2 linked regions of the Drosophila melanogaster genome follow. The protein of the gene in region 2 interacts with the protein of the main gene of each other region in a pairwise test. Each region holds a gene or a part of one and is shown on either strand. Other genes may lie near its edges. The genes, in order: DCX-EMAP and MYPT-75D.

Region 1 (5,289 bases), 3.7 Mb from region 2:
TGTCGGTGATTTTTTCAAAAGTTTTTTAATGTTGCAAAATCAGGTTACATACTCAGTACTTTAAATACAATATTTCAAGCGCAGTAGTTAAAAAATGAAATGACACTATTTTATTAAACGCTCAGAATAAGATTAAACTGTTGCCGAAGATCTTTGAGGAAAAGAAAAAACAAAAAATTCAAATATTTCGACACTTCTCTCATGTTCTACCAAGAACAAAAAATCCGAATATATATGTATGAGTTCTGTCAATCTTGACCGAAAAAAAAAATATCCTTGGTTGAAGTATTTTCGCAAGTGCACTCTGCATGCTCCATGCTGCGCTTTTGTTTGCTAGCCGCGGGCCAGGCGCAATTGCCTTTGCCGTAGCGAGTTGCAGCTGAAGTTGAGGCCGGAGTCGCAGTCGGTACTTGGTGTCCCGTAGTGGAGCCCGGAGGAGAAGCCCCAACCTGGTGGATGGCGGGTGTGGGGTCTTGGGTATCCTGGCGGGATGGAATGGCTGCCTTTTTTCTTTGTCTTGGGCACTGGCACATCCTGACTTTGGCTCACGCTTCGACTGCATTAGACGCATAGTCGGGGATGGCTTTTGACTTGGTCGTTAGCGATTATGGTTTGCCGCAGCCTCTCCAGCCAATCCCACAAAAACACCCCAACTCCCAAAGCCACTCCCACTCAGCCTTATCATCATCAGCCACCCACAACGTTTGTCAAACGGAAGGTGGAAACTTTTTCAATAGTTGTTCCGGAACATGTTGGATGTGCGGACGCTTGATTGCTGCACCCGCATGATGTCTGCGATTTGTGTGGATTTTTTTTTGTTTTTGGCCAACTGCCTCGGCCAGATGTAAAAAGAGAAGACTTTTAAGCCAACTGTTTGGCGAGTATCTGATTGAAATTTATGCGAAAGTCAACCCTTCAAATGGGTTGCCTAAAAAAATGTCCTTGGGTGACGAAATGGTTTTTCGAATTTCATACAATGTTTTTATGACTTTATCCCCTTGTTTCTTATACTTAAGTCTTTTTACATTAATATAATTAACTTGTTTTATAGAATCAAGAAATTAATGTACTATGTAAATAAAAGAAATAATTTTCTCCCTCGAACTTTTGGATGAAAAGTTATCGTTAAATCTGTTACTTTTAATTCGATTCCATCCACCGCTTTCAGTATATTGATGGAACTTATCGATAAACTGCCAGCTGACCATTTCGGCCTAAAGAGTTAATGTCCTTATCCTTTTTTGCTCAACTGAGCTACTCTTAAGAACCACTGTTCTCTTAGCCGTCCCAACTCTCAAGTTAGCCCACTCTCAGTCGACCATAAAGGCTAAGACCTAATTCCCAACTTGCCCTCGTGGCAGGCCAAAAGGCGTGCTAATTGTTGGCATTGTTTCTAGGGCTAGACTCCCACAACAGCGAGAGTGAGTGAATGCGAATGTGTATGTGAATGAGAGCGAGAGAAAACGAAAGTGCTTGCATGCAAAAATGTGGCCCCACCGAACAACTAACCACCCACCCGCTCACTTCACCCATTTCCCCCGCAAGGACCCGCTTTTCCGAAGAAGAGGGAGCAAAACAAAGAAGCCGAAAGGAAAGCGACGCCTTTGATTTTTAGGCCAAGTGACCAAGTTTTCTCACTCCACAGCGCTGACCGCAAAAAAACGCCAAAACCTCGTATATAGTTTTATGTATGTTATGCACACTTACACACACAACCGGCACACTAACTAAAATTATACCAAAATATTCAAATTTATATTGATTTTGCGCCTGACGTGAAAACTCTCACTTAAACTTCAAAATAATGAAAAACTTAGCTGAGCTGAAAGCAGAAATGCATGCAAATAATCTGGTACTAACCTTGAAGGCCTTGAACGAGGATACGACATAGAAGGCTCCATCCTCCAGTTCATCGAGATGATATTTTCGATCTCCGTCCATGGAGAACACATATCGAGCACCCCGTGGCAAGTCCATCTTGGGCGAGATCTTATCGAGAAGATTGTCCAGTGAGGTTACATCCCGTCCGGGACGATAGCGCAGCTCCACACCCGGAAAGAATGGATCCCCATTCCGGTAGAACACCACACGGCGTGCCTTCCAATAGGAGAGATTATTATATCGCGATGCCGCTGCACTTGAAATTTCTGGACGGGATTTAGATCGCACCAGCGGCACCACTGGCGGCTGCTCCGAGTTCTCGCTCATGTTGTCCAGATACCCGGGACTAATGGCGCGACTCTGCCGCCCACTGGTTGCACCAGTGGTCGCACCGTTCCGTTGCTGCCAATAATCCGGCACCTGGCGATCTCCACCAGCCACCTGCTCGCTGGCTGCTAAGTCCTCCTCATCATTATCGTACCGGCTGGTGTTCTGAATCCGGAAGCTGGAGGACACTGGGCGCTTGGGACTCTTCGCAGGACTGCTGCGGTTGCTATCGTTGTTGCCGTTGATGTTGCTGCCGTGCTTGTTAATGTTGCTGCTGCTGCTGTGGATGCCGTTCCCGTTCCCGTTCCCGTTGTGCAGATTATCATCCAAATGGGGCTGCGTCGGTGGCGGCGAAACGTTTCCCTCGAGCGGTGCGTTCGGACTAATTTGTGGCATTGTTTGGCCGCCCAGAACGGAGTCGTTACTGCCAGCTGCCTCTCCACCGCCATCGACCTCATCCTCGCCGGTCTGGGCCTGACTCAAGCTGGCCATATAGTCGTCGTTCTCTTCGTTGGACATTGTCCTGGTGTTGGTACTGTTGCTTGTCCTGCTCCTAAAGCAGTCACGTCAGCTTTCTCTTAAGGAATTGGCTCAACTTGCGTGCTCGGTTTGTTGTGGTCAAACGGAATCGCTAAGGGCAGCGTCGCGTCGACGCAAAGGAAAACTTGGAGCTCCCAAAAGGGGGGCAACTTCTTGGAGGTTTTCTTCGAGCACGCAGTCGCTGGTTGCCCAGCAAAGAACTACGTTGCTGGCCTGGCTAAAGTGGAAAATGTTTGATTAGAAATTTGATTAAGGATTTAATTTAAGTCATTTTAAATAATATTTTTGGAACCAAAAAAAAACATTTTTTTATAAAACATCGGTTCGAACATCGAACGTCACTCTCCTAATATAAGAGGTCTATAAAAGGTTGGAAGTAAATTCTGTTAAGGAATCTATCAGTTATAATATTCGTGATTCAAAATTGTTTATCATGTACCAACTGTGGAGAAACAATGCCAAATCTTCACAGTTCTCTGATAGCCTTTAACATGTCAATAGATTGTAATTATCGAATATATATTCCCATGTAATGTCTTCATTCATAATCCTCAAACACAGCATACATATGTCCTGGTCCTTGTTCCACTCAAGCCTTGCACTTAGAAATATCAACTGTTAACTATATCCTCACCCTCTACGTAATCGATATGCCACGAACTCTCGATGCAATGTGTCCAATGCTCCCATTGCCCAGGGCTCTCCAGAGTTCCGCCCTCTCAGCCTGCCTGCTGCTCGACTCCCCCACTTCACAGGACTCCAAAGGATTCAATGGGCTGTCCGGCGAGCACTTGCCACTGCCTTTGTCCCAGCAAACAGACCAAAGAGCCCCACTCAACCATTCGGCGTGGGCACTACAAACATTCACACTTCTGCGGGGTCGAGGGACAGGGTTCTGGGTTCTGGGTTCAGGGTTCACAGTTCAGGCGGCTCCACTCCTCTCCTCTCCCGCTGGAGAGGCCGAAAATATCGCGTATTATTTGCCCTGCCTTGCCTTGCCTTGCATTTGGCTACCTCACACATCGATGAGGGTACACTCGAAGTCGTATGAAAAAATTCTAAACCATTTTGGGTTTAGGTTCAAGAACTATATTGTGTCCAAAATAAATGCATAAACAATTCTAGTTGTATCTTTATATATATATTCTATATATTATTACTAATATCTAACTAAAAACTCGCACAAAAGGACCCGCAATATCACTTTGCAAATTTGTTATATTTAACATCTGAATACCCCAGAAACAGGATTTTAGATTTAAGGAAAATCATTCTGGCTGTTTTTCCTGATTTTTCCCCAGTGCATCGAGTGTTAAGCACCGAAAAATTGCAGACGGCAGGGAACAAGCCGACGACTCCTGGCTTAAGTGGCATTGGTCTCTTGTGTCTTTGACCACTCTGCACTCACACTCACACACAGTTCACCTACAACCATTCACACACACTTCCACACAAACCGGGATCCAAGTCCTTTTCACTGCATTGGAATTTCGTGTATTTTACAATTGCAACAAAAAATAAATATTTGTGGGCCAAGGGAGCTGGAATTTTCACTGGTGAGCCCTTTTACTTGATTTTTTTTATGGTTTCACCTTTTTATTTGTGGGGTGGCGGCGGGCTTGGGTTTGGATTTACCTGTTTTATGCAAATTTGTTTTTATTGCAACACGTTGCACGTTGCTTCTTCCTTTTGGTCGTCGTATTTATGGCCGTATATTTTTTCGGTTGGGGTAAAAGTGGCGCGGTGGCTTCTTTTGCGGCAATTAGGTTAATGACACTTGGGCCGGCAGTTGTTGCTTTGGGTTATTTATGCACAAACAGTTGTGCCTCTCCACTTGCAACATCAGCAGCATCCACTTCCACTAATTGCCTATCAATCAGCCGCAATTGTCTCCACTTTTGGATCGGTTTTTCGGGGAAAAACGGGAAAAACACTCACTTATCGGATAGCACAAACCCATTTACTTGAATCAAATTTAATGAACTCGAAGGCGAGTTTATTAAAACATCTCTCGCGCTGGCAAGAAAGTTGGCCAAAACAAAAGTGCGAAAGTTTTGCTTACTTTCTGGCATTTACCGATGCACAAGAAGAAATTCCGTGTGGCAACTTTGCCGGTCAAAGTGTTTTTGAAGTGTGTTTCGAGCGGCGCTGCCTGCTGGCTGTTCTGCTGGTTTTCCCGCAGCTTTACCTTCTGCTGCTACTGCTGCCTTTTGTCCACTCTAAATTTCCTTGGCGACGCAGCCAATTTTCTTAGAGAGTGCCTTTCTCTTTCTACCTCCTTTCCTCGAATCGCGAATCGAATTACACGTTCGCCTGTGTGAGTGACTGACTTATGGGGCTAACTGCCCACCGCTTCCCGCCCGCTGCTCCACCACTAATTGTGCCCTGCTTAGGAAAACCACAAGCACTCGCACACAAACACACACACTCACACACTCACACAGACATGCACTCATACCAGTGCAAAGGAAAATCCAGTGGGCCATTTGCTGTGTTCTCTTAGCTGTTTGGCTTTTTCACCTTTCTCATTGCACTATTACC
Region 2 (5,294 bases):
GGACTGGAGCATTCCGATTGCAGCATTAATCAGAGAGTTCGTCGGCTGCGTGTGAATAGCACGCGACAGGTTGTGATCGAGACAGGGGATCAGCCGCTTTTCGAGGAAACTGAGGGGGAGGAAGAGGAGGCTGAATCCGAAGATGACGAGGAGGCGGACGCCATGCAACTATCGACCGTGAGCTTCAACTGCAGCTCTTCCAACTCAGATACTCCGCGCGGACATAAAAGACATCGCTCCGCACAACGCAAGAATCTCTCGCAGTCCTTTAGTGCCAATTTGGAGGAGGAGGCGGATCAGACACAAGGTGGTGCGGGCTCCATCCAGCCAGCAGAGCCACCATCGGTTGCGATGCCACAGCAAGGAGCCAGAATTCCGCTATATCGGGCGGACAGTGGCTTCAACGAGACTTCTAGCACGACCTTTGCCTTCTCGCAGGATCTCCCGCTGGATGTGTCCATGGCCTGCTGCTCCACCCCCTCCACCCGATCTTGACCTCTACCCTTCGCAGTTCTAGATGGTAGCAACTACATATGTTATTTTATAGGCAATCTATGCAATAACTCCTTTTCACAGCCAAAAGAAAGGAGGACTTGTTTTTCAACTGCAATGATCACCCACCGTTTATATATATTTTGTATGCGTAATTGTATGTTCTTATAGAAATCTGCCAAATAGTGAATTAAGTCGTGCGTTTATGTCATTTATAAACTTAACTCAATGCCTTTGTCTAGTTTAGGGTACTTAATAAAAGTCCATTCGATGCCATATTTAATGTAATCAAAAGTTCCGAAGTTGTGTTATTTTCTAGCTGCCTTAAAAACGAAATTACCATTAAATCAGAATTCACATTGGAGGCACATTGGAGAACTATTGTAAGTGGTCATGGACATGGAAGTTGGTTAGCTCAATTTTGACTCCACATTCTGTTTGCGTTGTCCTGTGTAAGATTGAAACATTCGGGTGAGGTAAGGGAAGAATTCACCATGAAGGGTAATAACTTAAAGAAGATACTTTAGGAGATTTCAAGAATTTTCCAATCTTTTCGAACTATGATGATAGGAACTCTTGAGAACGTCAGAGATGGTTCACATCCATATCAACTTGGACGTTTGAATTATTTCAAAAGAAATCGATGATCGGGGTAAGTGCACCCAAAACTGTTAGAAGAAGACTTATGTACATATGTATGACCGTGGTGTTATAAACTTGGCGAAACCCAGGGCGACTTCTAAGTTCATATCGAACTGCGCTGCAGGAGAATCTGTGGATGTCGCTTTAGTGAATGTTCCTGTTCTCCTGGTCAATTCAAAATTGATTTGAATACAACTGGAGATGCTGTTGCATATAAGTTCAATGCAATACATATTCTGGGCAATGCTAGTCCGTTGCGGGCAGTTCGATGTTTTAGAGCTTCAGTGCTGGGTCAATTCTATGAAAATTTTTTATTAAAGTTAATTAATAGTTAAATTTATCAGCATTACTTATCAGTAATCTATTTGGAAGCGGGTTGGGCTCCGTTGTCGAGTTTGCTCAATGAAATCTCGTTTTAATCAAATTTGTTCTTTAAAAATAATGTTTTCGGTTGCGGAAGGGGAGGTGGATTGTGGTGATCTGTCAGGACAAAGACGGGTACTAACTCTGCTGTATGTTTTTTCATAAAAGTCCTGCTATATAGATAGATTCTAGAAGCCCAAATCTTCCTTGTGCGAACTATCTTTTTAGACTATCTTAGATCACCTTCGTACAATTTAATATTAAATAAAAAAATAATAGCTACTTTCTATTTCGGCACTATGCTAGAAAAAATCTGTCCTTGTAAGCAATTACTTATTTTTATTATTTTTAAACAAGTCTGTCTGAAGAATATCGAATTTTCAAATCTACATTTTAATCGATATCTATTCGATATTCGAGACATATCTATCTCATTTCTGTGCAAAACTATCGCAACCTCAACAGCTGACGTTGGCGTACCGTTTAAAAAATTTAGTATATCGCCAAACATCAACGGTAACGCATGTGGCTTGCTCTCGGAAATATTTTTGAGTGTCTGAGTGCGCACGCGAGAAGAACTGTCGGCATTTGAGAAGCGATCAGCAGAAATGTAATTGTTTGTTTTGGGGATCGAATCGAGTGGCTGTTATACTGTCACATTTATGCTACTTTTCCAAGCTGCGGTCCTTTTTTCGCGTTGCTTGGGTCACGACAAATTATGGTAGCTCGCCAAACAAAGAAATCAATTTAACCGAAATGTTTCGTACGTACGATCAGCGGAGATTTCTGCACTAATTTTCACCTGTGGTGTTTGTGTGTGCGTGCGTGAGTTCTGTTATAAATAGCGAAAGAGAGGAGGAAAAAGCAGATCGCTTTTTGGGCCATAAAAATGCCGAAAGAAAGTGCGGAGCGGGATAAATAATAAAAAAAAAATATTTGTTTGTGGGCCAACAAAATAAATTAGAACAACTCGTAAATAAGTCGGGCGCCAGAGGAAACTCTGTAAAAATAAACGAAATGAAATAAAATAAAATTAAATTCGCAAACGCAGCCGCGCGGAAATGTGCAAATTGATGGAAAATTAAAAAGGCAAAAAGTAGCAAATCAAAAAAAGAAAAAGGAAAAATTGCAAAAAGAATTCCTGTTACAAGAAACCAGTTCCTAACTCCCCCACCCACCTCCTATCTTCTCCTTTTTTTCTGGCTGCATCCGTTTTGAGCGAAAGTTTCTACTCCACTGTGCGAAATGTGTGCAAACAAGTTGGCCAGCTGTTTGCCGAGCGGGGAGGATGGAGTGGCCAAGATGGGGAAATGCGGAAAAATCTAGCCAATTAATTGTGCCGTGAAAGTGTGCGCCAAGTCAATTTCTATAATAAATACAATTTTTTACAATTTGCAGTCGGTGCCTTTTGTGCGCTTCAATTCGACTCGATTCCGATTCGTTTCAACTCGATTGAAAGCAACTTTGCAATCGAAAAATAAAGCCAACTAACAAAAACGGAAAGTCTCGCCTTGCAATTGGACTTGAATGGCTCTAAAGGCCTTTTTTTCGCACCCGGACTCGAGGTAAGCCTGTTTAATTTTCATGCCGACTTCGCATTTTAAGGCAGGCGACAAATTATTTGGGTATCGTTTGCAACGACACGTTTCGTTAACTTGTATGCATGCGATTCGTTTTAGTGGTCACAAAAACATTACCAATATTTCAAGTAGAAACTTGAAAAAGTAAAAAATTGTTTAATTGATTTTTTTTTTCGATTATAATGGTGCTATTTTTGCTTGAATTTAGCTGATCGATGCCGTAAAACCTCTTCTCAGTTAAATTTTACACACTTGTAATTGTTAATTGGTTTAAAGAGTGCCAAATTGAAAATATACACGATTCTAAGAGTCTAAATGGAGTATTTTCTATTTAATATTGGGAATTTTATAATTGGGACTGACTGGAAATATTATTTGCAAGTAAGATATTTAATGATCTCAAACTTTCTGGATAGATCATAAACCGTACAGTGTTGCAAACTGCAAGTAACACTGGTGTATGAGTGCTTTCTGCACTAGTTAGAACGGGATAGGGCAATCAAGAGTGTAAACAACAGTTAAATGTTGTTTAACTCGAATCCGGCGACTGCTTTCGTCACATGTTTTGCGCCCGCAGTTCCACTCTTTTTCGCCCTTTGTCGACGAGTTTTGTGCCTTATCGCAACCCTTGTTCGTTTTTTTTTTTTTTTTGTATTCTTCTTGCCGTATTAAATGGCCGGTTCTGCTGCGGCTTTTGTATAACTTCCGCTATTGTTATTATTTTTTAGTTGTTCGTTGTTGGAAGAAGTGTAATTAAACAGTGGAGTGGTCACGGTGGCTGGGGAAGGGGCGCGGCGGAGGTAACCCTGCAGCAGCAAATGCAGCAGCCGCCGTCTCACGGGAGTTGCCACCTCGAAAACCGGTTACAAATCATTAAACTAAAATTCTGACTCGCCATCCCGCTCGCACCGTGCTGCCTCTCGCTCCCACCTGCACGCCTCACTGCACAGTGGCACATGCAAGTGCAACTTGTTGCAGCAACTGTTGCCGCCGCCGTCCGTGTTGCATGTTGCATGCTGCTGCGAGTGCACTTTCATTAGACAGACGAATTGAAAGATTTATGAATAGAAAGAAAGTGTGTGGTGGGGAACAGGTCTAAAACAAATCCATATTTTATCAATAAAATTAAGACCAACCGATTTCCGAGGCACTTATAAAGTGGGCTAATTAACAAAAATTTACTTGAGCAGGTTTTTCGGAAATCGTAAACAGTGCGGACTATATTATATTATACAGAGCAACAAAATGCACCTGTTGTGAAAAATATTTAAGTTATTTATAAATTTTATTAAGATATAGTAAATTCCTTATAAACATTTTAATTATTATATTACAGGGTATTACAGACTTTTGCAGAGCATCTCAACTTCTTTATCAGCATTTAGCTGAGCTTTCCCGTTTTTCCTGTTTCGGTTGCAAAAAAAAAAAAAAAAACTAATTCAATTTGTCTAATATTCAAAATCGAAAGAGGGAAAAACTCGTTTATCGGCATCCTTGTGACACACTGACATCTTTAGCTAATCTCGGGCCCTCCCCCTTTTCCTCCTCCGCCTCACCGCTCCCATCACACTTTGCTTAATTAATTCTGTTTTCGGTTTTGTGTGCCGCCACCTATCAAAGCACCCCATCCCCCCCCCCCCCTCGGTTCCCAATCGCCCCTCGCACAAACGATCGTTGCTGGCCCCGTCATTTGCATTGATTTGCAAATTTTTTATTGGCCGTTTCGACTCGAGCCTGACGTAATTTGTTAAACTTTGTTATTTACCTGGCTGACATCGATGGCCAACTAATCAGCGCCAGCTTTTGTTGGCTTTAATTTATGGTGTGTGGGCATTTCAAGCGCTTTAATCGTCAAGGATTCAGTCCCACACTCCCGTTCCTAATCTTTCGGTACTATTTTCCAGGTTTAATCATCTCATTCGGGGTCAGAGATTAAGTATATTTCTCGAAAAAGTTGTCCATAAAAGTGGTGAATGAATTAAACAATATCACTTCAAATCAAAGGAGAGATAAAAGTGACGATGCTTCAACTGGATTATATTTAAATTATACAAACTAGATTTAATGGGCTAAGACCATATTTATTTCAGCTTGATTAGCTTCTGTTGCTGTGCCATTTTATTAAGTCCTTATATTTATTCTACTTATTTCTTATTCAGCGTTTAAATTCCTTAATGTGGAGATCCTTTAACTGAGTATCCCTTACACTTGTTAACA

The links.
Region 1: the proteins of MYPT-75D (region 2) and DCX-EMAP interact in a two-hybrid assay, tested with the Drosophila melanogaster proteins (one large-scale study listed by BioGRID).

The regions. Positions count from the first base shown.
Region 1 is NT_037436.4:14,901,552-14,906,840, reverse strand, and holds the start of DCX-EMAP (Doublecortin-domain-containing echinoderm-microtubule-associated protein), read right to left. Parts: upstream 3,037-5,289; 5' UTR 2,605-3,036; coding exon 1,861-2,604; intron 1-1,860.
Region 2 is NT_037436.4:18,623,970-18,629,263, forward strand, and holds the start of MYPT-75D (myosin phosphatase targeting subunit 75D), read left to right. Parts: upstream 1-1,989; 5' UTR 1,990-2,107; exon of another isoform or gene 2,108-2,322; intron 2,323-2,895; 5' UTR 2,896-3,062; intron 3,063-5,294. Other genes in the region: bora (aurora borealis), read left to right, coding at 1-495.